3 linked regions of the Sus scrofa genome follow. The protein of the gene in region 1 binds, or shares a complex with, the protein of each later gene. Links are inferred from orthologs where the notes say so. Each region holds a gene or a part of one and is shown in the gene's direction. Other genes may lie near its edges. The genes, in order: TNFSF13B, TNFRSF13C and TNFRSF17.

Region 1 (9,613 bases):
AAGTAGTATTTCCTGCGTAGATAGAATTCATTTCTCCCAATATTTTTGAGGTGCTCAAATCTGGCCAGGTATTATTTGGGAGTTCCTGTGTGTCCTTGTGTATCCTAGGTGTCATGCATGTGAAACAGAAACATTAACTGAAGTGTGTGAAATGGACAGGCCATCACAGTGATGGACGCATATTCATCAATACTCATGAAACCCTTATTCTTGCAAGTATTATAAAGGTAAAGAGTAACAGACTAAATTTCACTCTAGTTGAAAATTGTATTAAACAGAAATTGCTTGTCGAAAAACACAATGAATAAAAAAGTTTTTTAAAGAAAGAAAAAACAACACAATGAAATAAACCCTTCTTCAAGAGAGTTAAATCTCAGAACATTTATACTACAAATTGAGGACATATTTGCAAATGAAACTGAATTCTTTAAAAAGTGGATTTTTCCCCAAAGTGACAAAAATTAAGCTCTAGTAAATGCATACACACTCCTCTTTTGAATATAACTATTAAGAAATAGTTAAGTCTGCATTGCCAATCACTGACGTTATTTTTTGTATGAGAAATGACCAGAGTTGTCTATTTTAAAAACCATGTCATTACTTCATGGTCCAGTGACACAGAGTGACCAGCACTTAGCCTTCCACGCCAGGTTTCCCCTGGGCTCCAGTAGCAGATGACTGTGTACGTGTTTCTATCGGAAAACAGCATGATTTGTTTCCTGAAAGGTAATAACTATTTCTATCAAACTATTTTCTATTTTCGGAGCCCTCGAGGAAGCCAGTGTTGCCTGGGTCTATTTTTGCGTACCTCTGTATATCTAGGAGAGCCTTTGACTCCACGCTCGATTGGTCCAAATCCTTATGAAAGACACTGTTTTTCCTCCAAGACATGGGTATGGGAGTGATGTCCCAGACCAGCTAATTTTTCATAGAATGGTTAAGCCAGACATTTAAAATTAAGCTTCCAGAACAGTTTCGAGGTTGTCCATGTAAGAAGCAAGCCATCAGAGGGTAGGTATGTGTTTAATATTGATATTGCGGTTCAGTCCCTAGATAAATTCCTATCTTAAATGCTTTCCAAACATGCCTTCTCTCTGCCGTCTCCTGAGTGCCTGGGACAGGGACATGGCCCTCCATTTCTCTATGAGGCTTGCCTTAGCTCTGTCGTAGGAGAACGTCTGACACTCCAGTTGGGAAAGAGAGAACAGTTCTCTGGCAGGGCACCCTGGCTCAGGCAGGGCCCTGGTAACTGTGAGAGTGCCCGGCTCCTCCAGGCGTGTGGACAACATGGATGTGCTATGTGTTGGATAGAATTCCAGTTAAATTACTGTCCAGCCTTTTCCTCGGCAGGAAACAGATCCTTGATTTATGGAGGACCAACCTCCTTTGGTTCCTCTAATAAGAAATTCAAGAGCACATGCACTGCAGGCTGTTTTCTAGGCGTCTTCTGAGAACTTGAATTTCCTGATGCTGCAGAGGACATCCCGTGGCCGTGTCCAGGAGGGGCGGGGGAGGGGGAGGGAGGTGGTGCCAGCAGCCACCTGCCTTTGGAGGGGCAGCACTGGCCCTGTCTCTGCTGGGGTGCCCCCTGAGGGTCCGAGACTGGCTCCTGGCACCAAACTGGCTGCAGGCTGGCTGCTCAGCAGCTTTTCCAGGAGAGCAGCGAAGGCGGAGGTCATTCCCTAAAGCGCGCCATTCCCCTTGTCTTCAGAACTTTCCAGCAGAACACGGAGAGGGGTGGCCTGTCAGGAGGGAAGAATGTCCAGGCTCAGAAGTGCCCAGTGGCCTCCCGTGTCCCGAGTCAAAGAAGAGAGTAATCGATTTCCAGCACGGCCTTGAATTCTTTGATCTCTCCAGGTGCTTCGTTACTGTAACACACGCACGTCTAATCTGGGCGAAGTTCAGTTACTTTCGTTCATGAAGGTAAATCCCTCAACTCATCCTTTTTTCAAAAAGTGGCCTCTTACCTAGTGTCCGTCATGCTGATGGACCCGGAAACGAGGACTGTCACAAAGGCTCGGATGACACCAAAGAGCGGGCACGCTCTCTTAGAGAAGACTGCCACTTGAGAGAGGACAGGGCAGCTCACGCGGGTAGGGGAGACCAAGGGAATCACGAAAATAATTTTTTTTTCATTTTTAAAGTTTCATTGGAGTCGAGTCGGTTGACAAGTTTGTGACCATTTCTGCTGCACTGCAAAGTGACTCAGTCCGACGTGCACACACAACCACTCTCTTTCGGATTCTTTTCCCACAGAGATGATCCCAGAATATTGGGCAGAGTTCTCAGTGTTCGTGTGCCGATCAGTTACCCCCCTCCCAGAGTTCTCGTCGTGGTTCAGCAGAAACGAATCTGACTAGGATCCATGAGGATGCAAGTTCGATCCCTGGCCTTGCTCAGTGGGTTGGGGATCCAGCGCTGCTGTGAGCTGTGGTGTAGGTCACAGACGCAGCTCGGATCCGATGTTGCTGTGGTTGTGGTGTAGGCCAGCGGCTGCTGCTCCCATTCAACCCCTAGCCTGGGAACCTCCATATGCCAAGGGGGAGGCCCTAGAAGACCAAACATTTTTGTATTTTATTTTTAAAAAAATTTATTTTAAAAAGTCTTGGGACTGCAGATGCAAAGGAAAAAAATAACCCCAACAGGTAAAAATGAGTAAGTCTGACGACATCATACTCGGAGAGATGAGGAGGAAACAGGCAGTCCTGAGAGATACCTCAGAGACAAGGTCAAGGTGACCAGTCCCTGTTCTCCAGCAGGTGTGTGCCTGGGAAACCCTGGCAGCTGTTGCATGGGCGCAGGCATAAAGCCGTCTATTGCAGCACTGTTTGTAATAATGAAAAAGAGTTCGTGTTCTGGATAAATGAAACACACATTCATTCATAAAATGTATGAATGAAATATATCTCACATAATGAATGAATGAATGGATGGAAATGAGTGAAAAATGGAGGGTCTTAAAGGCAGCTTGTTCCACATTCCTCTAAGGCTCCTTACAACTTCTCAGGGCCGGTTGTCACCCCATCTAACAGATGAGAACACTGAATCTCAGGTGGGATTGGTGTCCTAATAGGCACGCCACATCCAGCAACAGAGATTTGAAACTAAAGTCCCTCTGGGTCGAGTTGGGGTGTCCTACAGACCCATGAGATGGGGACAGAGTCAACCTCATGTGGCCAAGCAGATACGCTGCTTTAGGGGAGGAGCAGTTAGTGGCAAGACCCAGGCTTCTGGAGCTGAGATAAGGCAGAATCTCCCCCAAATGTGGTCAGACGGAGCCAGGACATGCAGCCCCAGGAGTGGGGACAGCAGAGGTCGGACCGCTCCTCAGAACTGGCCGTCCTCTGGGGCAGCGGGTCCAGAAGGAGGAAGATTAGGCAGGCTTTTCTTCAAAATGCCTTTAAAGAATCCCCCGTGTCTACTCTCAGCAGGGCTCCCAAATTCAGGCACATCCTTTTTCTTCAGTTGCTAAGATGATAACATGGAAAACATTCCCCAACGGACTTTCATGCCTCCTTGGAGGAGGCTTCGTTTTATTTCCTACTTAAGGACTGTTAATAAATCACTCTCTGGCTGAGTACAGTTGAACGCTGAAGCACTTAGCTTATCTGACCTTCGCATTAATTATTTTTATTACCCAGCAGGAACTTATGAAAGCTGCCCCCCCTTTCCCTGTAAAGCCAAGTGGCCCCAAGCGAAGAAGCCAGGTCTCTCCTGGTGCCTGAGAGGGAGCTCCTTAAACACCTCCGGCTCTGAAAAGCTCTGCTGGAGGGTACTGGTCCGAACCCCCAGTTCCTTCCAATCAGTAGACGCCAGGCACCCGTTTGTGCCTGAGGACCCAGTGATGCCATTGCAATTCTTACAAAAACTGAAAGTGAAATGAGGAAGACTGATTGAGCAATCGGATAGAAGGGCGAATGCCAGGAAGACCTAGCGTACAGTAGGGGCAGAGATGCAGCGGGGCAGAGGGGAGAAAATTCAGGAGAACTCTCCTGAGGGCGAGCGCCGGGCTGGGCCGGGCAGTCAGTGCAGGACATCAACAAACACAGATAACAGGAAATGATCCATCCTCTGTGGTCACTGATTCTAAGGGCCCGAACCTTCAAAGTTCTAGGAGGGAAATGGATGACTCCACGGGGGAGCAGTCACGCCTTTCTTGCCTTAGCACGAGAGAAGAAATGAAACTGAAGGAGACGGTCCCCATCCTCCCCCAGAAGGAAAGCCCCTCTGTCCGCATCTCCAAAGATGGGAAGCTGCTGGTCGTGACCCTGCTGCTGGCCCTGCTGTCCTGCTGCCTCACGGTGCTGTCTTTCTGCCGGGTGGCCTCCCTGCAAGCGGAGCTGGGGAGCCTCCGGGCGGAGCTGCGGGAGCACCGGGCGGAGGGGCTGCCGGGCGCCCCCCAGGCGGGAGCCGCAGCCCCCAGGGCCGCCCCTCCGGCCCTGAAAGTGAGTCTGCGGCAGCCGCAGCCCCAGGCACGGGGCTCCCCCACGACCCACACGTGCTGGCGGTAACGTGGGGCTTTTCTCTTCCCAGGGGATCTTTGCACCACCAGCTCCAAGGGAGAGCAGCTCCATTCAAAGCAACAGGAGTAAGCGCGCCGCGCAGGATGCGGAGGAAACAGGTACGTCGGGGTCACGGAAGCCTGTAGGAGGCAGGGATCCCGTTCACAGGTGTGGAGGCGAGCATCGGACTGGGAGAGGGGAGCCCCGCAGAACCTGGAGACTTCCACGCTCACCGTCGCAGCCAGGAGCGGCGCGGGGGCAAAGCACCAGGCTGACAATGCATGTCTGAGCTCCAGGGAGCGGATTTTGTGGGGGCAGGTATTTATTTATCTGTGCGGCAGTTGAAGCGTAGAAGTGGGGAAAGAGGCTCACATCTCCCTGCAGAGAGTTCCCTTCTATGTCAGGAGCATCCTCCATCAGTTCAGGAGAAAAAGCACCACGCGCGAATGTAGGAAATTTTGTGAACCTGGTCAAAGAAAGGCAGCAAAAGAGCATCTCCTGGGGAGCGTAGCTGCTGTGCAGTCACATGGAGGTCGGTGGTGGGAGCAGGTGCATGGCTGTGCTTTATTTTGTTTCTTGCTTTTAAAAGAATAGAGCTCCTTCCACACACACACACATACACACACACACACACAGAGCTTTTCGAGCTTTTCGTTAACCGGAGCTTTCCCAGGAGATCCACACGTTTGTAATCTTATTGTAATAGTTCTTTAGAGATTTCTGACTCTCTTCCTGGTCTGTTCCACAGAATTGTGTGGATTCCCGAAACCTCAGATTTGGTGGGGCCTCCCCAGACATTCAGCTCTAGCTCCTTCCTTTCAAAGATGCAAAAGAGCATTTGCATTGCATTTACTTAGCATGCAATTTAATCCTTGATACTGTTTCCCTTCTGTATTGAAGGAAGGTTTTTGAGCCCCTAGAATGTGCCAAGCACGCTTGTACTTGAACGGGAATCGTCACACCTTCTGTTTCCTTTAACCTGCAAGGTGACTGCGAGGTGAAGTCACCGTGTGCAATTATGTATCCGTCTATGTGCTTCTAAAGAGAAGTGCGCGACCCGCAGATTAGCTTTTCTGGCACACGCACAATGCTGCTTCTGTAAGCGTGTTTTTCACGAAATGCCTTATTCATGGAAAAAATTCTTCCCTTATTATAAAAGCATACATTTTTATCTGGTTATCATATCTCCCAGCCAATTATCAGAAACAATTGGGTTTAAGCATTTTAAAACTAGGAAACATTTTTAGCATACTTTAACCCATCAATTGTTTTCAGATTTTGTATTTTATCACCTATGTTTTCTTACACACACATAGTTGAAAACTGCAAGCATATATGTCTTGGCATATTTTTGTGTTCACTTATTACATAAGCATTTTCCTTAGTTCTCAGTAATTCTCACTCATCTATATTAATTTCTTTGTTATCATTCTGTGATCATACGATCATTTCCAACTCTTTTTTTTTTTTTTTTGGCTATAGCAGAACATGCCACAATTTTTGTGCAGATCTCTTTGTGTCTGAGGAATTATGTGCATATTATTCAACATAAATTCCATAGATGAAATGTCTGAGCCAGAGGATAAACACCTTTAACACTCTTGCTACCTGTTGCCATGTTGCTTTCAAAATGAATCATAAGTGCGTGCAGTCAGAAACTCCGTGTACAAGTTCTCCGCATTCTGACAGCATTTTATCTTTAAAATGTGTTTGGGCTAGTTTGGTAGTTGCAAAACAGTGCCTCAAATTTAATTTGTTGCTTGCTGACAAATAAGAATTAACTTCTTTCCACATATTTTGATAACTTCTAATTTTATCTTCTGCTGATTTTTATTTATAACTTCCCTCACTTGTCTGTCATATTTTTAAAACAATTCTGAATAAACTCTATATTTGACATATTACTTATCAAAATTTTGATGTAAATATTTTCACAACATTTTGCTGTTTTTTCAAAAACTTGTGCAGAGATTTTGCATCTGTGTATTTTAATGTGAAACACTTGTCCTTTTGATTTCTCTATCAAAGCTAAAATACATTTGTTCATAATCTCTTAAGCAGTTTATTGTTTCCTCTGCCATTTTGACTTTTTTATAATTTAGTGTTGTAGCTTGGTATTTAATCCATTAACCTTGGAGTTTATTTTGGTAGGTCATGTCATACTGGCCTTAACTTCCCCTTTCTTCTTTTACTTTTCCCTTCCAAACTCTTGCTAAATATCTCAACCAAATTAATTAGATGATTCTTTTTAACTCCTTTGGGTTGGGAAGCTTCCTGTATTAAGTTCCTCATATATAGTCGAATCTACTTTGAGATTCCTTTTTTCATTGATTTTTTATCCTATCTATCTGTGATAAATAAAATATTATAAGTGATTTTATAATATAATGAGCTTCAATATCTAGTAGGGTGAGTATGCCTCAATCTTCTTCAACCTTCTTAGCTACTCTTCCCCTGTCTCTAAATATTATTATTAAAAATAAACCCTAACTTCCCAATTCCAAAGAGGATATAGACGCATTACAGCAGATTTAAGAAGAAAAGAATTAAGTAAGAAATCAATTATCCGCAGAGTTCCCATCGTGGCTCAGTGGTTAATGAATCCGAATAGGAACCATGAGGTTGCAGGTTTGATTCCTGGCCTCACTCAGTGGGTTAAGGATCCGGCATTGCCCTGAGCTGTGGTGTAGGCTGCCGGCTACAGCACCGATTAGACCCCTAGCCTGGGAACCTCCATATGCCACAGGTGCGGCCCTAGAAAAGACCAAAAAAAAAAAAAAAAGAAAGAAATCAGTTATCCCCAGAGTTGCACTCCCCCCCCCTCAAATCTTCTGTTAATATTTTAAAATCTCCTCTAGTGCAAGTTTTTTCGTGTTGGTGTTTCCATGGCATCCAGAAATTGTATACTGACAAAAAATTTTCCCCAAATATTTGCAACTTTGAGAAAGTTTGGAAAATAGCAGAAAATTCTAACCAATGAATAAAAATTTACCCAGTTTCTATATCCCAGATATAATCACTGTTGTCATTATCATAGTTTGCCCCAGATTTTTATAAACCTTGAATGTAGCGTGTCTGTGGTGTATATGTGTGTGTATTGTATATACCATGTGTGTATGTGTATGTGTGTATAGTACGTAGCACACATATATTTCCTCCTATCTCTATATCTCTATGAATATCATAACATTCGTAGACTCCCAGATGAAAGGTGTGAAGACCAGAGCCTTAGTGGCAGGTAATACCGGCTATGCCTTGCCAGTGAAATTGGCCTGAGTGTTATTTTAGACACTGTTCTCTGGTGCAGGGAAAAATCCGTTTTGTTTAGCACTACTCCAAAATTAATGGCTCTCTCTATATGAATCTACTACATATACCAAAAGATTGTCTGAAATTCTATTTTTGTTTGTTTTCTGTTTAGTAGGGTTGTTTTTTGGAATTGAGAAAATGCAGAAATGCAGTCTGAATCTATGCAACTTTCTTTGTTTTTTGTTTCCATTCTCGTTGTTATGGTTTATTTTAAGTAAAACTCCCTTTTATCTTCAAAGTGTTAGTTTCCATTTTATTTCTTGACTTTCTATATATGTTTATACACACTTTGTTGCATTTCTATTAAAACTATAACTCTGAAGAAAATGAATTTTCACCCTGTTGAATTTATATATTCAAGAATTTCTAATGTCTATTAAATATAGAATTTTAAACTTTACAGGACAGCTTTTCTTATGTAGTTCCTTATAGTTTCTTTCATAGTTAACCTAAAGACATTTTATTGCTAGTTTGAAGTCTTAGCATTTTCAAATAGCTTGTTAAACTGTTAAAAGCATATGGAATTTTCAGTAAATTATTCAGTATTTGATCTTAGGCTTATTTTTTAAGCCAAATCAGCACACTTGGTGGATTTATGCTTAATAGAATTATAATATTGTCCTAGGCTTTTCTTTCTCTTTTGGCTGCACCCACGGCATATGGAAGTTCCTGGGCCATGGAGGTAATCCAAGCTGCAGCTGTGATCTATGCCACAGCTGTGGCAACACCAGGTCCTTAAACTGCTGTGCCACAGTGGGAACTCCTATTCTAGACTTTCTTTTTTTTTTTTTTTTTTTTTTTTTTTTGCTGCTGTGCCTGAAGCATTTGGAAATTCCTGGGCCAGGGCTTGAACCTGTGCCATAGAAGTGACTAGAGCCACTCCCGTGACAACACCCAATCCTTAACCCACTATGCCACAAGAGAACTCCTATTCTAGAATACTCTGCTTTCTATATTTACTCCTTAATGTCAGTGTGCCATCATTTTATAACTGTGTCAAAAAGGTTCATAACTACACATTGCTAAGTAAGACACCGGAATGCTACGCATTCTTAATTTTCTATAAATCCAAGCCAGATTTCCCCAGGCGCCTCGATTTTACTGTGTGTATGTTCCGCGTGTAAGTAAATTCCAGCATGTTGTGGGCTAGGAAGCCTGACCTCCCCAGCACACGGCAAATCTAGTTATTGCATCAGCCCTCAGTACTTCCCACACACTACCCAGGAAGGTTGTTCTCTTTCCATTTGTGTATCTCCCATCTGTACAGCTAAAGGGTCCAGACGTCTGTGGTCCAGCCCTGTTTCCTTTGTGCACGTTCATCCTGACACGCGCACCCTGTAGATAATTCTGTGAGTGTGTGTTGGTCACTTTGGGGCGCCACATCAAATACGAAAGAATGATTTGGGAATCACTGGGCATCGCTGTGGGGAGGGGAGGGTTTCCCCCTCTTTCTTCAGTGGTCAAGTTATGATCAAAGGTCGTCTTATGAAATTTTTCAACTTGATATTTAAAACAACTAGTTAGCCAACGAATGAGCCTAATCACAAGGCTAGAGCTGCAGGACGGTCTGGAAACCCCTTGCTTCAGACTCTCTCAGTGCCCACCAGGTGTAGGCACAGTTTGGATCACTGAAAAGTCAAGAGAAGCTCTTATGCTCAGCAACTTTTTAAACTATAATTTCACGGATTTCTAGTTTAATGGGTTTTTTAAAATTTTAATTGACATGCTATTTGCATACACATGTGAACACATGGGAAAAGAACACATGTGTCCAGGACCTGGGTTGATGAAATTCGCAAGCT
Region 2 (9,487 bases), on another chromosome or scaffold:
GAGCCACATCTGCAACCTACACCACAGTTCACAGCAACACTGGATCCTTAACCCATTGAGTGAGGCCAGGGATCGAACCCGCAACCTCATGGTTCCTAGTCGGATTCGCTACTCACTGAGCCACGACGGGAACTCCTCAAGTAAAAACTTTTGAAAGAACGAGGAACATTTGCTTGAACCACATTGATTTTTGAAACTTTAACTTCTCTCTCAGTCATAACTCATATTCAGAAAGTAACAGAGGAGTTCTCATCAAGGCTCAGTGGTTAACAAATCTGACTAGCATCCACGAGGATGCGGGTTCCATCCCCGACCTTGCTCAGTGGGTTAAGGATCCGGTGTTGCCATGAGCTGTGGTATAGGTCACAGACCCAGCTAAGATCCCGAGTTGCTGTGGCTGTGACTGTGGCTGTGGCCAGCAGCTGCAACTCCTATTCGACCCGTAGCCTGGGAACCTCCATATGCCGTGGGTGTGGCCCTAAAACAGAAAAAAGAAGTGATGTAGAAGATTTAAGTTTAGAAAATTAATAAACTTGGGAATTCCCTGTGGTGACGTGGCTTAAGGATCCAGCGTTTTCACTGCAGTGACTCAGGTCGCTGCCGTGGTGCAGGTTTGATCCCTGGCCCCGGGAACTTCTACATGCCACAGGCACAGCTCCCCACCCCCCAAAAAGTTAATAACCTTGACCTAAGAGCTATGTTAATGGAAAACACACTTGTGGTTGCCAAGAGGGAGAGGGAGGAGGGGGATGGACGGGGAGTTTGGGGGTGATAGATGCAAACTATTACCTTTAGAATGGATCAGCCATGGGGTCCTGCTGTACAGCACAGGGAGCTAGAGCTAATCACTTGGGTTAGAACATGATAGAAAATAATATGGAAAAAAGTATGTGTATATATGTATGACTGGGTCACTTTGCCATACAGCCGAAATGGACGGAACATTGTAAATCACCTATAATGAAGGTTTTTGTTGTGTCTTTTTTTAAGGAGCTATGTTAAAAAAAAAAAAAAAATACATTGAGGAGGCGTGCCCTTCGTGGCTCAGTGGTTAATGAACCCGACCAGCATCCATGAGGGTGCAGGTTCGATCCTTGACTTCGCTCCGTGGGTTAAGGATCCGCCGTTGCTGTGAGCTGTGGGGTAGGTCACAGACACGGCTCGGGTCTGGCGTTGATGTGCTCTGATTCGACTGCTAGGGAACCTCCATATGCTGCGGCTGTGGCACTAAAAAGACAAAAAAAACAAAACAAAAAAAAAAAAAAACTTGAGGAATAACCTGACTTTTACTACATTGGTCTGAGGGTGAAATTTCTATTCTTCACTGCTAAGCTGTGGAAGTGGAGACTCGAGCACTCCCCCCTTCCCTATTTATTATTTATTTATTTATTATTTACTTATTTATTTATTTAGTCTTTTTAGGGCCACAGCCGCAGCATATGGAGAGTCCCCAGGGGTCGAATCAGAGCTGTAGCTGTGACCTACACCACAGCCACATCAACACCAGATCCGAGCCATGTATGTGACCTACCCCCACAGCTGCAGCAATGCCGCATCCTTAACCCATGGAGTGAGGCCAGGGATCGAACCCTCATCCTCATGGATACTGGTTGGGTTCGTTACGGCTGAGCCACGACGGGAACATCCCCCCACTTCCCTATTTAGAAGGTGCAAGTGGAAGGTCTGTCTGGAGTCAGGTGCCCCACACACCATCAACACCAATCCTGCTGCCCACTCTGTGCTTGGCACTGCCCACTGCAGGCACTTAGGAGGCACTGGTAAGGGTGAAAGTGGAGCCTCTCTGGTTCTCCCTCCAGGTGGCCGGTATAGAGGTGGCTCCTGTGAGTGGCCTCCCCTCTCCCGGGGACAGGCTCCCCCTCCAGGGTCCCAAGACCCAGCCCACTTGGCCTGAACATCTGGCTGGGGGTGAAGAGATGCCGCATGTGTGGTAAGGGCCCTGCCGCCCTGAGGGTCGCGGGTGAGAACAGGACCAGTAGCGATGGGGGGGGGGACAGGGGCCCAGTCTTTAGGCCTTGCCCCCACCCCTCTGCCCTAAGGAGGCCCTTCCCTGCCTTGGCTCCTGGCAGGCCCCTGGCTCCCCCACCCCCTCACCACACACCCCCACTCACACCCACACCCACCGCCCCGGACCCACTTCTCCTTTGCAGTTGCCCCACCGCCTACACCTTCCTGCTACGGAGTTGCTGGCCCGTGGGCAGGGGACGGAGAGGCAGTGGGCCAGGGCGGCTCAAGGCCAGCCGGCTCGAGGTTCTGTGTGAGTCCTCGTGTCCTCGGAGCCAGAAACCTGGGGGCCGGCCTTGCTCCCCTCACTCCATAGCATCACTCCTCCCTCCTAAACAGCTGCTGGCTGCTCCCTGGCCCTGAGTCATGGGGGAGCCTCCTTGCTACTCCACTCACCCTGTCTCCAACCCCACAGCAGGGGGAACGTCCCTTCAAAGGCACAGCTCAGACCCTCTCCCCCACTCAGGTACCTCCTGGGGCTCCTCACTGCCCAGGGCTTATGGCTTGCGGCCTGGCCCGCCCAGCTGCAGCCTCAGTCTCTCTCCCTCGGCAGCACCTCTGGAGGCAGGGGCCAGGCCTGTCCCCAGAGTCGGCTTCCACTTTCCCAGCTCCTGCTTTTGCCCTCTGCCTAGAAGTTTCCCCTCCCCTCTGAGCTGCTGAAGATCTACTCCAGCCCCTAAGCCCCCTCCGTGCCCCAGGGACTGTCAGTCCTTCCGCTGTACACCCCCAGCCCTGAGTGCCCCAGGGTCTGGCCAGGCCCACCATGAGGCTCTAAGCCCGTGGTCCATGCTGAGGCTCTCTGCCAGCCCCTGCCCCGGGGGAGGGGGCAGCGGAAGTCCAGGAAGGCCCAGGGGGCTTGAGTGTCCGCCTGACACTCAGTGTGAGAGACAGGTGGGGCTTCCCCAAACACTGGCGAGTGGAGACACACAGAAGAGGCCCCACAGAGACACAGGCGAGCAGGCCAGGACACACACAGCCCTGGGAGGAGGAGGTGGGGTGGGTGGGCTGCCCACTTAGTGCCTACTGGGCCTGGGTCTGTCTGCTCATCTGTTGATCTGAGCCTCCCTCCTGCTTAGGATCTGGAGACCGAGCTGCCCCCGGTCTGTGCCCTCCACTCCAGCCAGCGGTTCTGACTGTGTCACTCCCTGCATGGCTCTCAAGTGCCCTTCTGGCCAGAATCCGAGCTTCTCTCAGTTAAGGCCCCAGCCCGGCCCTCTGGTTCCAGCATTCCCTGGCCTTCGTATTTGGCCCCCAGGCCCCTTGCTCACCCTGGGTGCCCCCCGCCCCCTGCGACCTCAGTTCAGCCAGCAAACACCTTATCATCTCCTCCACAAAGCCTTCCCGTGCCCTGTGGTACCACCTTCACTGATGCCATGCTGTGAGGTGTCGTCTCCCCCATCACCACCACCAGTGTGAGTCCCCTGGGGCTTGGTACCATGTGGGGGCCCTCAGGATGTCTTCGATGAACTGACCAGCTCTGCGGGAGAAGGGCAGGAGAGCTTCCCAGAGGAGGCAGCTGGGGGGAGATGGCTGGTGGGGAGCACCTGGGCCTATGGGCTGGCCTTGGGGGGCAGGGCAGAAGAGGCCTCCCCGAGGTCTGTGTCCTCTTCAGGGACCCATCCTCTGCTCCCCAAGGGCGGGCCCTTGTCTGAGCCCCAGCCTTGTCCCAGTGCCCAGCAGGGAGCCCGCCCCGTGGTTGTCTGGGGGTGATGGTTGAGTGGCTGAATGGAGGAACCACAGATAGAAGGTCTGGGGTGCTGAGGCCCTGGCTAAGAGTGGTCCCACCCCGTCCCACCCCAGCAGGCAGGAGGGCGGGGCGGGGCGGAGTGGGTGGCGGCCCCTCCCGGTTTCTTCCCCGTGGGGCAGCAGAGGCCAGACTCTGTCCCGGCAGGGTGTGCAGACAGGCCTGGGCTTTGGCAGCATGAGGCGAAGGGCGAGGAGTCTGAGGGGCAGGGACGGGCCGGTCCCCACGCAGTGCCTGCAGACCCAGTGCTTCGACTTGCTGGTGCGCAACTGCGTGGCCTGCAGCCTCCTCCGCACGCCCGATCCTGGACCGGGTAAGCGTTACCCGGCTCTGGCCGTTGGAGCGCCAGGGCAGCCCTGGTGGAGGGAAGGAGGGTCCTGCCACCGAGGCTCGTGCCCCGCCAGAGCCGCAGGCATGGCCCGCACCTGCCCAGGACCCGGGCTGGGGCATCAGTTAACGGGGGGCTGTGGGCTGGAGCCTGAGTGGCTCAGCCATGCGGGCTGCGGGCTGGAGCCTGCGCGCGGCCGTGGCCCCTCCTGCTCCCCCCCCCCCACCGGCTGTCCCTCCCCTCCCGTCCCAGCCTCTCCTCCCTCCGACCTTCCCCTACCCTCTCTTCCCTCCCCTCTGCCCCTGACCTCCCTCTCCGTCCCCTCCAGCAGGCGGCCCGAGCAGCCTGGCTCCCGGGACGGCGCTGCAGCCGCAGGAGTCGGTGGGGCCCGGGGCCGCCGAGGCCGAGGCCGCGCTGCCACTCCCGGCGCTGCTCCTGGGCGCCCCCGCGCTGCTGGGCCTGGCGCTGGCCCTGGTCCTGCTGGGCCTGGTGAGCTGGAGGCGCCGCAGGCAACGGCCCCGCGCCTCGGCTGCCCCGGAGGCCCCGGAAGCCCTGGACGGAGACCAGGACGGTACGTTCCCCGTCTAGAGGAACCGAGAGGCACTGTCCAGCCCGGGAAGGTCCGGCCCTGGGGGACGGGGGCCGTCGGAGGGGACACATGGCCCTGGCGGGCTAGGGGCCCTGGGAAGGGGGTCTGAAGCCAGGCAGATGGAGGGGGCGGCGAGGGGCGCCGTCTGAGATCTCAGGCTGAGCGGGGAGCAGCGGCCCTGCCCAGGGTCCCGGCCTGGTGAGCGCCTGAGTGAGGAAGACGCGGGCTGGGGGCCCGGGGGAGGGAGGGGTCGTCCTGCCCTCGCTCCGGGAAGGCCAAACTGACCCCCACGCCTCCTCTCCCAGTGTCAGCACTGCCACTGCGCAAACCCTCCCAGCACTTCCGGTCCCGAGGGCCCATCATGTGCCACCCTCCCCCTCCCCACCGCCGCCTAGGGGCTTCCTCGCCTGACTTCTCTCAGAAGTCGGAGGGCTCTCTCTCCGGGGAGGTTCCAGAAACGGGATGGCGGAAGGCTGTGACCCAATCCTGACCCTGCACCCCCCCACCCCCCAACCAGGGCCCCTGGATAATGACATCGTCCCCTCTCCTGGAACCCTGGATGCCACTGCTCCCATCTGGCTTCCACCCAGCGAAGACTCAGCCACCACCCCACCTGCCCACAGCGTCCCTGTGCCAGCCACGGAGCTGGGTTCCACTGAGCTGGTGACCACCAAGACGGCCGGCCCTGAGCAGCAGTAGCGATGGAGGGGACAGGAGGCTGCCCTCAGGCAGAGGCTTGGAGGTTGAATTCGGCTCCTCTCCCCTGGTCCCACCTGCTTCTTTACTGAGAGTCAAGCTGCTCCCGGGCTCATCCTGCAGAACTATAGGCGCTGCAGACACAGGGTTCGGACTACATGGGATCCTATGGCGTGTTCGCATTTGGCTTAAAATCAGACTATCTTTGGCAGCCCTCAAAGCCTGAGCTATGTGCCTTTGAGGGGTTGGGCACCCTGAGTAGGCGTTTTTCTTTAAGCATGGGGAAGCCACCATCAGCCAAAATGAATCTAGGAGAAGGATCAAGTGGGAGGATGCCTAATTTGTGGCTGTATGTTGTATTTAATACTTGCTCTCAGAGTCGTTCTGCTTTTAAACTGATGCCAATGACAGCAATGAGTAACCAACTGACCCTTTGGGATTTCGCACAAGGTAATTCTAAGAAATAGCCTGGATTGTCCTGATTCTTTGGCACCTGTACCCTAGGGTCAGCCCTGAGTTTGACCCAACCTGCTAGAACTTACGATGCCAGCTTTACCCTGGTGGCCGCTTCCAGAACCCCAGGCTCACACTTGGGAGGAAGTCTACAGCTTCTGGGGCTGGACTGCAAATTCACACCGAAGGTACCCTGGCAGGCCTCTCCATCAGAGACCACCTGGAGTCCTAGCCGCCTCCAGAGCACTCTGAGCTGTACACAGGGCAGGGCCCAAGACCTGCAGGAGGCTCTTTTGTTCAGAGGCCAGGGCAGGCCTGTAGCCTTGAACCAGCTGGACCTGATATCCCTTGAGCTCCCTTCTGTGGCCTGTCCTCCTCAAGTGCTCAGGTCACTTGGCCATTCTGTGCCAGCTCCCTGCAGTCACCCATCATCCCAGTGGAACTGTTCCTCGGACACTGGTGCCCCTTGCCCTGGAGAGTGGAGCTGAGACCATCTCTTCCAGTTCTGGACCACACTGTGAACTCAGCTGGCCACTGACTCTCCTGCTGGCCCTCCTACACAGAGTTAGAAACAGTTGACCCGGACTTCACCCTGGACAGTGCCATGGAACTTGTCACAGTTTAGCACCCCCGGAAGGGGCACTGGACGGCGAGTCAGAAGATGGGACCCTGGGTACCAGTTTGTTCCACTTGTAGGTCCTTGACCCTGTTCTGTTCTGCGCATCCGATGCTTTCTGCCCGCCTCTCCCTGACCTGCCTATCAGAGCTGCCCAGCAGATACCCACCTTGCCTGCCCACCCCTTTCCCAGCTCAGAAGAGTCAGCAGTCAGCAGTCAGCAGCATTTGCAGCCTCGAGGACCACCTCTCCCTCCTGAACCCGGCTCAGATGTCCCCCGCTCCCTGGCTGCCAGGTGGCTGGGGTGAGGTCAGGGTGGGCGCAACAGGCAGGACAGTGGGAGGCAGGCCCAGAATGGGCCCATCTTTCCCCTTCTCTCCATCTCAGGGTTGGGGAGCAGTCTGAGTTGTTCCCGGCCATGCCTGTCTCCCACACCATCTTTTCCACCGCAGCCGGGGGTGGGGGCACCTGGAGGTGAAACAAGTGGGTGAAACCCCCCTGGGGCCCAGACATGCAAACCTCGGGCACCACTGTGTGCCCACTGAACCCCTGGTCTGGTCTCAGTTTCCTTTTAAGAAAAATGGGGGGAGGGGGATACAAAGCTCTCCTCCTGGCCCGTGGCTCTCCCAGGAGGACTGGGAGGGAACTCGAGAGAGCACACACTCCCCCTCCATTTTGCAGATGAGAAAACTGAGGCCCAGAGAGGGGGCCTCATCCAGCGAATCGCAGAGGGCAATTCCCTGGGGAGGAACCAGGAGCAGAGGCCAGGGGATGGGTGGACAAGAATGGGGTCTGTCTCCCCTAAAAAAGCCCCACCTCCCAGAGGCCTCCATTTTCTAGCCCTCCATCCTGCCCTTGCTTTCTAAAGAACCTTCTGGAAGTGAATGTATTTGGTCTTCACAACAGGAGGAGGGGAGTGGGTACTTGTGTTTGCTTTTTTAAAAAATGACTTTTATTAAAAGAACAAAAAGTTGAGATGTGTTTTGTAGACACTTTGGAAAGTTCAGGATGGTAGTCCAGGGTGGAGTCTTTCGGGAAGTCACCCCAGATTCAGAACACCAGGGTTGAGTAACCATTCTATACATGGAAATTCGTATCTTGACTATCATATTTGCTGAATTTTGTCTTTAAACCAAAGTTTTCATTTGTAAACTTTTCCACTTGAGTGTTTTCGACCTCTGCTATTGTAACTGAGGCAGTAGCACCTCTTTAAACATAAATCTTTGCCTGAGTCTGTTTCCCAGAAGGAGAGTAATTTCAGCCACAGGCCTTGACTTTTTTTTTTTTTTTTTTTTGCTTTGCTTTGCTTTTTAGGGCAACACCTGCAGCATATGGAGGTTCCCAGTCGCCAACCTGCACCATAGCCACAGCAACGCCAGATCCAAGCCACATCTGCAACCCACACCAACAGCTCATGGCAACACTGGACCCTTAACCCACTGAGCGAGGCCAGGGATCGAACCTGAGTCCTCATGAATCCTAGTCGGGTTTGTTAACCGCTGAGCCATGAAGGGAACTCCAGCCTTGACCTTTTTTAAGGCCTCTGTTGGTCAAATTGCTTTCCTGAAAATCTGGACCGATTTACCTGCATGAGCAGGGACTATATGACCCATCTTGCAGATAGGCGAGAAGAGGCCCAGAGAGGAGAAGGGATCTGGCTCAAGATGCAATAAGCAGCGATGGAGCTGGCTTAGACCCGGACACCTGCCTGCCCGGAGGGTGGTCAGTCACTGGCCCAGGTGTTCTCCTTGGGAGCGACAGACTCCAGGCACTGAGTCCAGGCTTTCCTCTTTGTTTTCATCACTCCTCAAAGGCTTCCCTCCTGACTGGTCTCTTTCTGCAGTAACAGGGATGTAGGACAGACTGGAGGAGCTGCCTGTCGGGTTGGCAACTGAGGGACGCAGGCCCTGTTCTCTGGCCTGTTTCTGGCCAGTTTTTCCTGATCAAGGGTCAGGTTTCCCCACAGTCCCCGGGGTTTTGGCAGGTGGGGGCGGGGCTGGCTGGAGTCTCAGTTCCTCCTGGGGCTTCCTGCAGGCACCTCTCACTTCCTGCCGGGCAGCCCAGGCTCTGGGCTCAGGGTGGGGGTGGGGAGGCCCAGCTGGTGAGGCCAGGGAGGAAGGACCTGACCCCTAAGCTCCCTCTGTCTCAGCCAACCCTTGCCTCTGGAGGCCGGTAGCCTGTCTTTGGGCCTGTCGCCCACATTCAGATTGGAGCCTGGGCGTTCCCTTGTGGTGCAGCCCGTTAAGGATCTGGTGTTGTCACCGCAGTGGCTCGGGTCCCTGCTCTGATGAAGGTTCGATCCCTGGTCTGGGAACTTCCACATGCCTCAGGCGTGGCCAAAAAAACACCACAAAAGCAAAACAAAAAAACCCCTGGAGCCTGAAAGCCAACCAGCTGTCCAAGATTAAAGAGGTCCCATGGCAGGTGAGGTCTCCACGCCAGGAGTGCCTCCACCTCCTTCCTTTGCTGAGATGCAGACACTTTCTGCTCTGAGCCCCCAACCCTCAGAAAGTCCCTGGGAAGTTTCCCGAGGCTGGCCTGAGGCTCTGATCTCAGGAGTTACTGCTTATCTATTTACTGCCCCGCTGATCGCACCTGATCCCAGCACACCTGCTTTGGGCCAGGGCCATCCTGGTCAGTGCCAGGTGGTCAGCCTCAGGCTATGCCATTAGGTCTCAGTCCAGTGGGAGAGACAGAGCAGGACACAGTGACAGGGTGGGGTTATCCCCGCCAGGGCCAGAGAATGCCTCAAGCAGGAGGGGGACTAATTTAGCATTTAGAGTGCTTTGTCGAGCAGGAGGTATGCCCTGAGTCCTGCAGCGTTTTCCTGCTGGAATAGAGCAGAGAAGCCTTCCTGGCCCAGGGAACTGTGTGCAAAGGCGCAGAGCAGAGGGAACAGGAGAAAAGCCTGGAGAGTTGGGCACCAGGGCCCCTGAGTGCCAGAACCTTTCCTGGGGCCATTCCTGACCATTCACACAGGGCCACCCACTTCAGGGAACCAGGTGCTCCTCCAGCCCCACCCCTCGGTCCCACCCTTCA
Region 3 (9,501 bases), on another chromosome or scaffold:
AACCGATTGTCCCACCCAGGCTGCCACATCTGTTGACCCCACCGCCTGAAACCCTGGAGGAATGGGAGATTCTGATGGATCTAACTTCAAACTTTTCCCTGGGCTCAAGCCCTTCATTAAAAAAACCCAAAAAACAAAAAAAGAGTTCCCATTGTGGTGCAGTGGAAACGAATCCCGACTAGTATCTTGAGGATGCAGGTAAGATCCCTGGCCAGACTCAGGAGGTTGGGATCCGGCATTGCTGTGGCTCGGATCCTGGGTTTCTGTGGCTGTGGTGTAGGCTGGCAGCTATAGCTGTGCATGGACCCCTAGTCTGGGAATTTCCATATGGTGCAGGTATGGCCCTAAAAAGACCAAAAAAAAAAAAAAAAAAAGTGGTTTTTAATTCTTGCATTGTATTTTATTATCTTTGTTTTAGTATTTATTATGTACTTTTCAAAAAATATGAAGAAGTATAGATAGCAGCAACAACAACCCCAAAAGAATAAGAGCAGGAAATTCTCTGGTGGCTCAGTGGGTGGAGGATCTAGCATCGTTAGTGCAGTGGCTCCAGGTCCTTTTCGATCTCTGGCCTGGAAACTTCCTCCTGCCAGGGGGTGACTAAATAAATAAATAAAAAGCATAATTTAAAAAAAAAATAGAGGAACACAGTAAATGCCAGCGTATCCACCATTCAGCTTAATAAAATTCGAGCAATACAGGTGAAGCCTCTTTTCCGTCCCTTTCCACTCCAGAGGTAATCACTCTCCTGAATTTGAAGTTTGTCACTTGTTTACTATTTACTTGAGTCCTGCATTTCTTTCTTTTCTTTTTTTTTTTTTTGTCTTTTTAGGGCCGCACCCGAGGCATAAGGAAGTTCCCAGGCTAGGGGTCAAATTGGGCTGTAACCGCAGGCCTACACCACAGCCACAGCAACACCAGATCTGAGCCATGTCTGTGACCTACACCTCAGCTCACAGCAACGCCGTGAGCGAGGCCAGGGATTGAACCTGCGTCCTCATGGATGCTCGTCGGGTTCATTAACCACTGAGCCACGACGGGAACTCCGAGTCCTGCATTTCTGCCTGACCTCTGGATATCTCTGTATGGGTATCTCTCAGTCAGGCAGAATATTAACTCGGGTGGTCCGTGTAGGAGCCCAGGCTTCGGTGCCTTCTTTGATGTGGCTATTGATTAACATGTGTGGCTTAAGGGCTCCAGGGAGTAACATCCCCACAGGCCTTGTTTACTCTAGGGAGTGTACCTAGGCCCAGATGGACATTAATCTCTAACCCCTGTGACTCAGTTTACGGGAAGAGAAGGGCAAAGAAACCATGAGACTTACGGGACATTTCCTCCCCTAAGACCCCTATTGGACAAGGACTGATAGAGGTAACTGGGCAAGGCCAGGGGGAGAAAACCACATCTTTTGGACCCCACATTGGTACCCCCCATCTTTAAGGGATAAAAACCCCCATAGGACAATAGAGAAGGGGGCTCTTCCTCCTCCCAGCTGTCCTGGGAGCTGTTTGCTTTCCTCTAATAACGACTTTGCTTGCTTGCTGCCTGTGTGTTCCTGAAGTTCATTCTCTGGCTTCATGAAGAACCCTGATCCTAGTAACTTCTTTCCGGCATCATCAGTATGGTTTAAAGCAAACACCTGTGGTTCCATTTAGGTGAAAAGGAAAATGCAGCGTTCCCATCATGGCTCAGTGGAAATGAATCCGACTAGGAACCATGAGGTTGCCGTGAGCTGTGGTGTAGGTCGCAGACACGGCTTGGATTCTGTGTTGCTGTGGCTATGGTGGAGGCCGGCAGCTACAGCTCCGATTCAACCCCTAGCCTGGGAACCTCCATATACCTCGGGTATGGCCCTAAAAAGCAGAAAAAAAAAAAAAGAAAAAAAAAAAAGTAAAGTGTACTACACCAACCAATCTATCTATCCACCTACAGAAATCCTTCCAGAAAGATCAATATCAGAAGCTGGCCAACAGAACACGTTGGCAGGCCTATCGGCAAACTCTGTGCTACATCAAAATATTAACTGATTATTTATGGATGCTACAACTATGCATAATTTTTCTATAGGCTCAACTGCTTTTTTTTCCTAAATTTTCAACAATAAAACATAGCTATTAATAATATATTAAAATATTATATTAATTTTAACATATTATTATTGTTATTGTTATGTCCCAAACCTATCTTCTGCCAATTTAATTTTTACCCTAGAATTCCGTATGTGTTGGAATTCTGGGATTCTTCCTAGGTTTATTTATGTATTTATTTTTGTCTTTCTAGGGCCGCACCCACGGCATATGGAGGTTCCCAGGCTAGGGGTTGATTGGAACTGTAGCTGCCAGCCTACACTACAGCCACAGCAACACCAGATCCGAGCCGTGTCTACAATCTACACCACAGCTCACAGCAACACCAGATCCTTAACCCCCTAAGCGAGACCAGAGATCAAACCTGCCTCCTCTTGGATCCTAGTCAGATTCATTTCTGCTGAGCCCTGACGCGAACTCCAATCTTCCTAGGTTTAAAACCTGGCAAGCGTGCTTGCTATTCCTTTCCTCTCACATTCTGTCACTTCTTACTATATTCTTTTGTAGTTGAGTGAATTTCTACCTCCCCTATTTTTGATTTTACTGCTATAGTTGCTTTATAATGTTGTGCCCATTTCTGCTGTACAACAAAGTCACTGAGTTAAACATGTGTATCCAGGAGGTTGGATCTAGTTCCCTGGGCTATAGTAGGACTTTGTTGTTTATCCATTCTCAATATAATAGTTTGCACCTACTAACTCCAAACTCCTACTCCATCCCATTCCCCCCGCCCCATCATCTTCCCTGTTAGATTTTAAGTTCTTAAAGGCACAGACCTTGTCTGGTCTCTCTCCCTGGGGCCCATCACACAGCATAGCTCACGAACAGATGCTCCGAAAATGGTTACTGAACCTTCTGCTTAATGTTTCAGGGTTGTCTACATCCTGTGACTGTCACCTGGCTGAGAAATTTCCTCTATAAATAAGGAGTTTCTGTTTCAGGTATGGTTTGCTCTGGGTAGGTATACTCCATCTCTTACGATACCCAAGACTCAAACTTTGAAACTGGAAAGAAACTGGAAGTAGTGTTGGTATTCAAATCCTCAGCCACAGACCTGGGCGTCAGCCCCCATAAGAACCAAGGCATCGACGCAACGTTCTTTTTTTTCCCCCTTGACATTCTAGCTGCTGTCACTACATTTTTCTGGGGAATTCTCGACGAGATTTTACGGGTCCTTCCATGCTGTTCTTTCTGTGGTTTCCTTGTTTCTTTTTGCGACCAAGTTCCAGATGGCTCAGCAGTGCTACCAGAATGAATATTTTGACAGATTGCTGATTGCTTGCAAACCCTGTCGCCTTCGATGCTCTAATACCCCGCCTGTAACGTGTCAGCATTATTGTAATACAAGTAAGTAATACTGCTTGAACAATTGTTCATTGTGTTGCTGAAAACTCGGCCTCCGTCCACTGTTTCGGAATAGAAATGTGGAGACAGAACTTGGGGCGAAGGAGAAAAAGACAGCTTTATTGCTTTGCCAGGCAAAGGCGGCCACAGCAGGCTAATGCCTTAAAGACTGCCCACCTTGGAAGGGGGCTAGGATGTGCTTTGATAGCTTCGGGAGTGGAAAATAGGGCAGAGATAAGGATCAGGATGGAGCCCAGCTTGCAATGTCTTTCAAAGCTAGTGGTCCTCCTTCTTCCCTGGAATGAAGACCGTTTCATCCAGTAGTGTTTCCAGGTGTTGGGGGTTTTAGTTCTGCACCGAGGCTCAAAGACATTGTTATGTATATTCCTTAAGGAGGAATCAGGACCCCGCCCCAAGGCTGCCCTGCTGTCTCTTGACAGCTCCTCCCTGGTCTCTGCATCCCCTCCCTTCCCTGATTAGCAGCTGCCCTTTGGAACTCAGGGAAGGTTAAGGAGGCTGGGGCTCATTTCCTAAAAACCAGAAAGGGAGGACCCCGAAAGACTTGTGTGCCCAGGACGGAGGACCCAGAAAGACTTGTGTGCTCAGGAGCCCCACAGCCTCTGCTCGGTTACAACTGGTGTGAGGTATTCTCTCTCTACTGACTATTTATTCAGAGCAGTAACATTCCGGGAAGGTGGTGAGATTTTCTGCATCAAAAAGAGTAAGAAAATAAAGCAATTATTTAAATGCCGACAGGAGCAAAGTAATTATTCAGAACTGAACCCGATTTCATTCAGCACTCTTAACCACAGAGGTTGTTTTTTTTTAAATCACCTCTCCTAATTAAGCATTATCTAGAATTTAAAAGTCAGTGCCAAGGCATTAGGGAGACTCAGAGAGAAAAAAACAACCTTTACTGGATGCGAATATGACGTTATTAGTTCATTCTCTCTCTGACATTTTTTTAATTCAGTGAAAGGAACAAATGTGATTCTCTGGACCTGTTTGGGCCTGAGCTTGATAGTTTCTTTGACAGTTTTCATCTTGATGTTCTTGCTAAGGAAGAGGAGCTCCGGACCACTGAGGGACGAACTTAGAAACCCAGGTTGGTTTGACTTTGATGGCCCATCTTTTGAAATCTGTTTCCAGGAGGTTGCGCTTGTGAGTTTCAGTTCGTTTTCATTTGTCCTGTTGAGCACCGGGTTTGGGGAGAGCCCTTTAGAGTGTGTCAGACGACAGTTATGTTAAAGGAAATTCTTGGAAGAAGGGAGCTTTCTCTCCGGTGTTTACACCCTCCTTTGCAGGTGTCAGCCTTCCCCACAGACATTCTTCCCTCGGTAATTACTCTTCAGAGGGACTGAGGCTTCCTTGGGGAACATCCTTCTCTCTGGCCGAAATTAGCACATGGATCAAATGTCATGCCACCTGAAACAGCGAGCCAGGTCTGCTCCTATCAGGAAAAATATATTTGGCAAGATCTGTGTCCATATTCTAATACAAATGTAAGTGTTTGCTTGAGGGACCATTTTACTGTTGAAAAATGGTAGAAATGAAGACCAGTTGCTCCTGGATTATTTCAGCAAGCATCTCAAAGATGATTATCTTTCTTAAGCAATAGAAAACCATCCCCAGAGAAATGACCATTCTACTTAAGGGCTTCTTAAGATAAATATATTTCTGGATTTCCCTTGTGATGTACTGGGTTGAAGATTCGGCTTTGTCATGGCAACGCGCCTTGGGTTCAACCCTGGGCCCAGGAACTTCTGTGTGCCTTGGGCACGGTCCCCCCCCAAAATTTTTTTTTTGGAGTTCCTGTTGTGGCTCAGTGATAACGGACCTGACGAGTATCCATGAGGATGCAGGGTTTGATCCTTGGCCCCTCTCAGTAGGTAAGGATCTGGCATTGCCTTGAGCTGTGGTGTAGGTTGCAGGCTAAGCTTAGATAAGGCATTGCTGTGGCTGTGGCATATAGACAGTGGGAACACTTAGCCTGGGAACTTCCATGTGCTGTGAGTGCGGCCCTAAAAAAATTTTTTTTTCTGTACCTTTGCCCATGGTTTGTTTATCAAATACTTTGTAGCTCTGCTCCATTTCCTTTTTTTTTTTTTTTGCCCTATTTCTTTATGCATGTATTTTCCATGCATAATCTGAAAAGCATCCACCTCATTTTCGTTTCAGTATACAGTGAGGAGAGGGAGGTGGCTGTTCCATGTCACTTACTCATTTGTCTTTTTTTACCTGGGGTTTGAGAGACAGGTAGGTGACTTTAAGTGTGATGTTTTGGAAGATGGAGTGACGTGACACGGTGGAAGGTTGGGAAGACAGTAGAACGTGCCTTCAGGGGCAGCCAGTGGGGACTCCTGCCTCATGGGGTCATGAGAGCTGCATTAAAAAAAAAGGAATTGGCCACAAAATGCTCTGTAAGAAAGGCATCTTTATTTTGAATTCTTTTTGGGGTTTTTTTTGGTCTTTTTAGGGCCACACCTGAGGCATATTCTGTCCCCAGGTTAGGGACAGAATTGGAGCTATAGCTGCAGCCTACAGCTCGAGGCAGCGCTGGATGCTTAAGCCACTGAGCGAGGCCAGGGATCAAACCCACGTCCTCATGGTTTATTACCACTGAGCCACAACGGGAATTCCCTATTTTGCACACTAGTGCATCACCTGAGACTGGTTTTGGTGTGCCTGCATATGGTAATTTGTCTTTCGTATGTGTTAAAGGGGTCAGTACCTTCATATGTCCAAGGGCCAAGGGGGTGAAAAACTAATGTAGTGGGGCTTCTGGAGGCTTCTGCAGTAGGGGAGCCTGGGCCCTGCTTGGAGTAGACAGGTGCCGTTGACTCCCATTTGTTCCCATGTAGGAATGTCCACTCCAAGTGGCCGTGGAGTTCCCATTGTGGCTCAAAGGGTTAAGAATCCGACTAGCATCCATAAGGATGTGGGTTTGATTTCTGGTTTCCCTCAATGGGTTAAGGATCCAGCGCTGCCACGAGCTGCAGCATAGGTCCGGACACGGCTCAGATCTAGAGTCTCTGTGGCTGTGGTGTAGGCTGCCAGATGCAGCTCTGATTTGACTCCCCAGCCTGGGAGTTTCCATATGCTATGGGTGCGGCTGTAAAAAGACCAAAAAAAAGAGGGGGGCCCAGTTGTTTAGATTTGTAGATTTGTATGTGTAATCTCTTGATTTTTTAAGTGAGGGTCACCATAAAACAGATGAGCAAACACTTAAAAAACCCTGCATTGCCCTAAACCACGCATGTCTTTGAAGCCAGTGTGGCCCATGGGCTGTCCGTTCACGCACGACTCTGGGGCCCTCTCATTCACTGAGTCATGAGAGATCCGCCTGGTGCTGCTCGGATCCCCCATGTGCGCTGCGAAGTCTGGCACGACCAGGTGCCCTGAAGAGTTCGGGTTAACAGTGCCGTTTCTGCGTCCTCAGGATCGGTTCCCCAGAAGGGTGCTGGCGCTGACCTGGGCAATGGCAGCGAGGGCCGGATGGGTGCGGAAACGCTGCTTTCGAGAGGCCTGGAGTACACGGTAGAGGAATGTACGTGTGAAGACTGTGTCCAGAGCGAACCAAAGGTCGATTCCGACCATTTCTTTCCACTCCCAGCCATGGAGGAAGGCGCCACCATCCTTGTCACCACGAAAACAAATGGCTACTGCAGCAGCCTGCTAGCTGCCGAGAGTGCCCTGGCATTGGAGAAATCAATTTCTACCAGATGATTAACGCACCGTTTCGATGGCAGAGAGCTACTTGGAAAGTCTTTTGTTGGAAGGAAAGGATGATGTGTCGTCTCTTTAGGACGCCTGACTCCTCGGTGGGTGGTATAGATCTTGGTCCTCTAATTCTGGAAAACCTTTATGTTTCCTTCCACCTTATTGATGGGAACTTAGCTGTGGAAACTTCGTCGGTTTCATGATTAAATTGACCATTGGAAAAAAAAAAGGCACCTCAATGCGTAGATCCCATCGTCACCCATTTCTATGCCGACATCACTTCTCTTCTACACACACAGACACACGTTTCAGGAGAGACTGGCTTTCTCTCTTTAGTGGGAAAGGGAAGCGAGGTTATCCTCCGCGCATTCTGTATGGAGGAGAACCTAGAGTCAGTCACACTAATTCCTTTTTTTTTTTTTTTTTTCTTTTTCAGCCACCCTCATGGCAAATGGAAGTTCCCTGGCCAGGGATCGAATCTGAGCCACTGCTGTGGCAATGCCAGTTTCTTCACCCACTGCCCAGGGGCCGGGATGGAACCGGAGGTTTCACAGAGATAAGCTGGATGGTTAACAGACTGCCTTATAGCAGGAAGTCGCCGGCCACACTCATTTTCTGTGTGCAGTGCATGGCCGGTTCCTGACCTTGTGAGCTTCCAGCTTAATGAAGGCATCAGGCATCATTATAATCAGTAGTACATGTGTAGTTGCAAATTGTGATAAAGGTGTATTAAGTGTCATTATTATGACCTAATGCACTTATCTGGCTTCCTAACAGCCAGGGATTGTTCCAAATGCTTTATCTGTATGCAGTCATTTACCACATACAACAAACCACAAGTTAGGGGGGCGGTTATTAGCTCCGTGCTACAGATGATAACAGAACTGAGTCAGATCAAGGCCAGCGAATGGCAGAACCAGATTTAAACCCAGACATTCTGCTCTATTCCTTTTTTTCTTTTCACATCAATTTATTTCCATTTCTGAGTTTCCCATCTCTTTGGGCTCCAATTTTAGTCATTACTGGGGGAGGGTTCCCTTCCTGGGGTTGTGTAAAAGTCCTGGGCTGTTATGGAAGGGCTGGTAATTTGCTTTTTTTTTTTTTTTTTTCTTTTGGTTTCCTTTCTTGACTGGTAATCTGCTTCCTCTGATCATAGGTAAGATGCCCACTGGCATCACAGCATAGACCTTCAAGGTCTTGGGGCTTTGTGGCTTTTGTGTCAGGTTAGGGATATGTGGAAACTTGGTGGGAACTCTGAACCCCAGGTGGGGTCCCTTCCAGGCCCTTGAGGGCCATAGGTGACAACAGAGTATAGTGATTAAGGCACTGGCTCTTAGAGTTTGAATCCTGGGTCTGTTACTAGGAAGTCGTAGACATTGGGAAACTTGAGAAAGTTACTTAACCACTCAATGCCTGTTTCCCCATCTATTAAATGGGCATAATAACAGTATCTACTTATAATATTGTTTTAAGGATTAAATGAAAACACACACACACACATTTGTATAAATAGATATTTTCCCCATAAAAGTACTTTGTGTTAGTTACATTGCCATCACAAATTTTTTTTTTTTTTTTTTTGGTCTTTTTAGGGCCACACCCTTGGCATATGGAGGTTCCCAGATGAGGAGTCAAATCAGAGCTATAGTCGCTGGCCTATACCACAGCCACAGCAAGGCGAGATCCCAGCCGCGTCTGTGACTTACACACAGCTCAGGGCAATGCTGGACCCTTAACCCACTTAGCGAGGCCAGGGATCGAATCTGCATCCTCCTGGATTCTAGTCAGATTCCTTTCCACTGAGCCATGGTGGGAAGAACACCATCACATTATTTATTAGTCCTTCCCTTTGAGGTCTAGTCTCCGAGGATAGGTGCACCCTTTTTCTATGATATGGCCTAGGAATATTGCTCCTAGCTTCTCACAAGCCGCCTTCCTTCTCCCCTTAGACACTCAGTGAGTTTCTATTTTTCAAAAGCCCAGAATAGCTGCTGACATTAGGTTTCTGACCTGGTCCTCCAGTACCAGGCTCAATCTCAGGAAGAAGGAATTACAATACTTTGAGTGGGTGGTAGAGAATGTAAGGCACATGCTACAGTCTCCGAACTCACTCGTCTCAAGTACCATGAAGAACCGGTACAGGGCACTACAAGAAGGTGTGACACAAACCCTCGTGACAACTCCATGAAGCAGGCGTGTGATGCCTCACCAAAGGTTACAGAGGCAGACAGACCCTAAACTAGGCTTTCTAGGGGGCAATCAGGGAGAGGGAGGATTCAGAAACACTGACTCTTTTTTTTTTTTGTCTTTTTGCCATTTCTTGGGCTGCTCCTGCGGCATATGGAGGTTC

What was found.
Region 2: the proteins of TNFSF13B (region 1) and TNFRSF13C are in contact, whole or in part, in a crystal structure (PDB 1OQE), measured with the Homo sapiens proteins. The link is inferred for Sus scrofa from reciprocal best matches to the Homo sapiens genes TNFSF13B and TNFRSF13C. Residues at the interface, in NP_006564.1 of Homo sapiens: Ser162, Tyr163, Asp203, Thr205, Tyr206, Ala207, Met208, Gly209, His210, Leu211, Thr228, Arg231, Cys232, Ile233, Pro264, Arg265, Glu266, Asn267, Ala268; in NP_443177.1 of Homo sapiens: Asp26, Leu27, Leu28, Val29, Arg30, Val33, Leu37, Leu38, Arg39, Pro41, Arg42.
Region 3: the proteins of TNFSF13B (region 1) and TNFRSF17 are in contact, whole or in part, in a crystal structure (PDB 1OQD), measured with the Homo sapiens proteins. The link is inferred for Sus scrofa from reciprocal best matches to the Homo sapiens genes TNFSF13B and TNFRSF17. Residues at the interface, in NP_006564.1 of Homo sapiens: Ser162, Tyr163, Lys204, Thr205, Tyr206, Ala207, Met208, Gly209, His210, Arg231, Cys232, Ile233, Glu238, Pro264, Arg265, Glu266, Asn267; in NP_001183.2 of Homo sapiens: Tyr13, Asp15, Ser16, Leu17, Leu18, His19, Ile22, Arg27, Ser29, Ser30, Asn31, Thr32, Pro33, Pro34, Leu35.

Annotation. Positions count from the first base shown.
Region 1 is NC_010453.5:75,595,637-75,605,249, forward strand, and holds the start of TNFSF13B (tumor necrosis factor ligand superfamily member 13B), read left to right. Parts: upstream 1-4,109; 5' UTR 4,110-4,121; coding exon 4,122-4,301; coding exon of another isoform or gene 4,302-4,445; intron 4,446-4,533; coding exon 4,534-4,621; intron 4,622-9,613. UniProt on the Homo sapiens protein: Cytokine that binds to TNFRSF13B/TACI and TNFRSF17/BCMA. TNFSF13/APRIL binds to the same 2 receptors. Together, they form a 2 ligands -2 receptors pathway involved in the stimulation of B- and T-cell function and the regulation of humoral immunity.
Region 2 is NC_010447.5:6,695,981-6,705,467, forward strand, and holds TNFRSF13C (tumor necrosis factor receptor superfamily member 13C), read left to right. Parts: upstream 1-3,845; 5' UTR 3,846-3,943; coding exon 3,944-4,079; intron 4,080-4,422; coding exon 4,423-4,665; intron 4,666-5,200; coding exon 5,201-5,382; 3' UTR 5,383-7,423; downstream 7,424-9,487. UniProt on the Homo sapiens protein: B-cell receptor specific for TNFSF13B/TALL1/BAFF/BLyS. Promotes the survival of mature B-cells and the B-cell response.
Region 3 is NC_010445.4:31,135,551-31,145,051, reverse strand, and holds TNFRSF17 (tumor necrosis factor receptor superfamily member 17), read left to right. Parts: upstream 1-3,189; 5' UTR 3,190-3,316; coding exon 3,317-3,434; intron 3,435-4,404; coding exon 4,405-4,536; intron 4,537-5,510; exon of another isoform or gene 5,511-6,870; coding exon 6,871-7,157; 3' UTR 7,158-7,380; downstream 7,381-9,501. UniProt on the Homo sapiens protein: Receptor for TNFSF13B/BLyS/BAFF and TNFSF13/APRIL. Promotes B-cell survival and plays a role in the regulation of humoral immunity. Activates NF-kappa-B and JNK.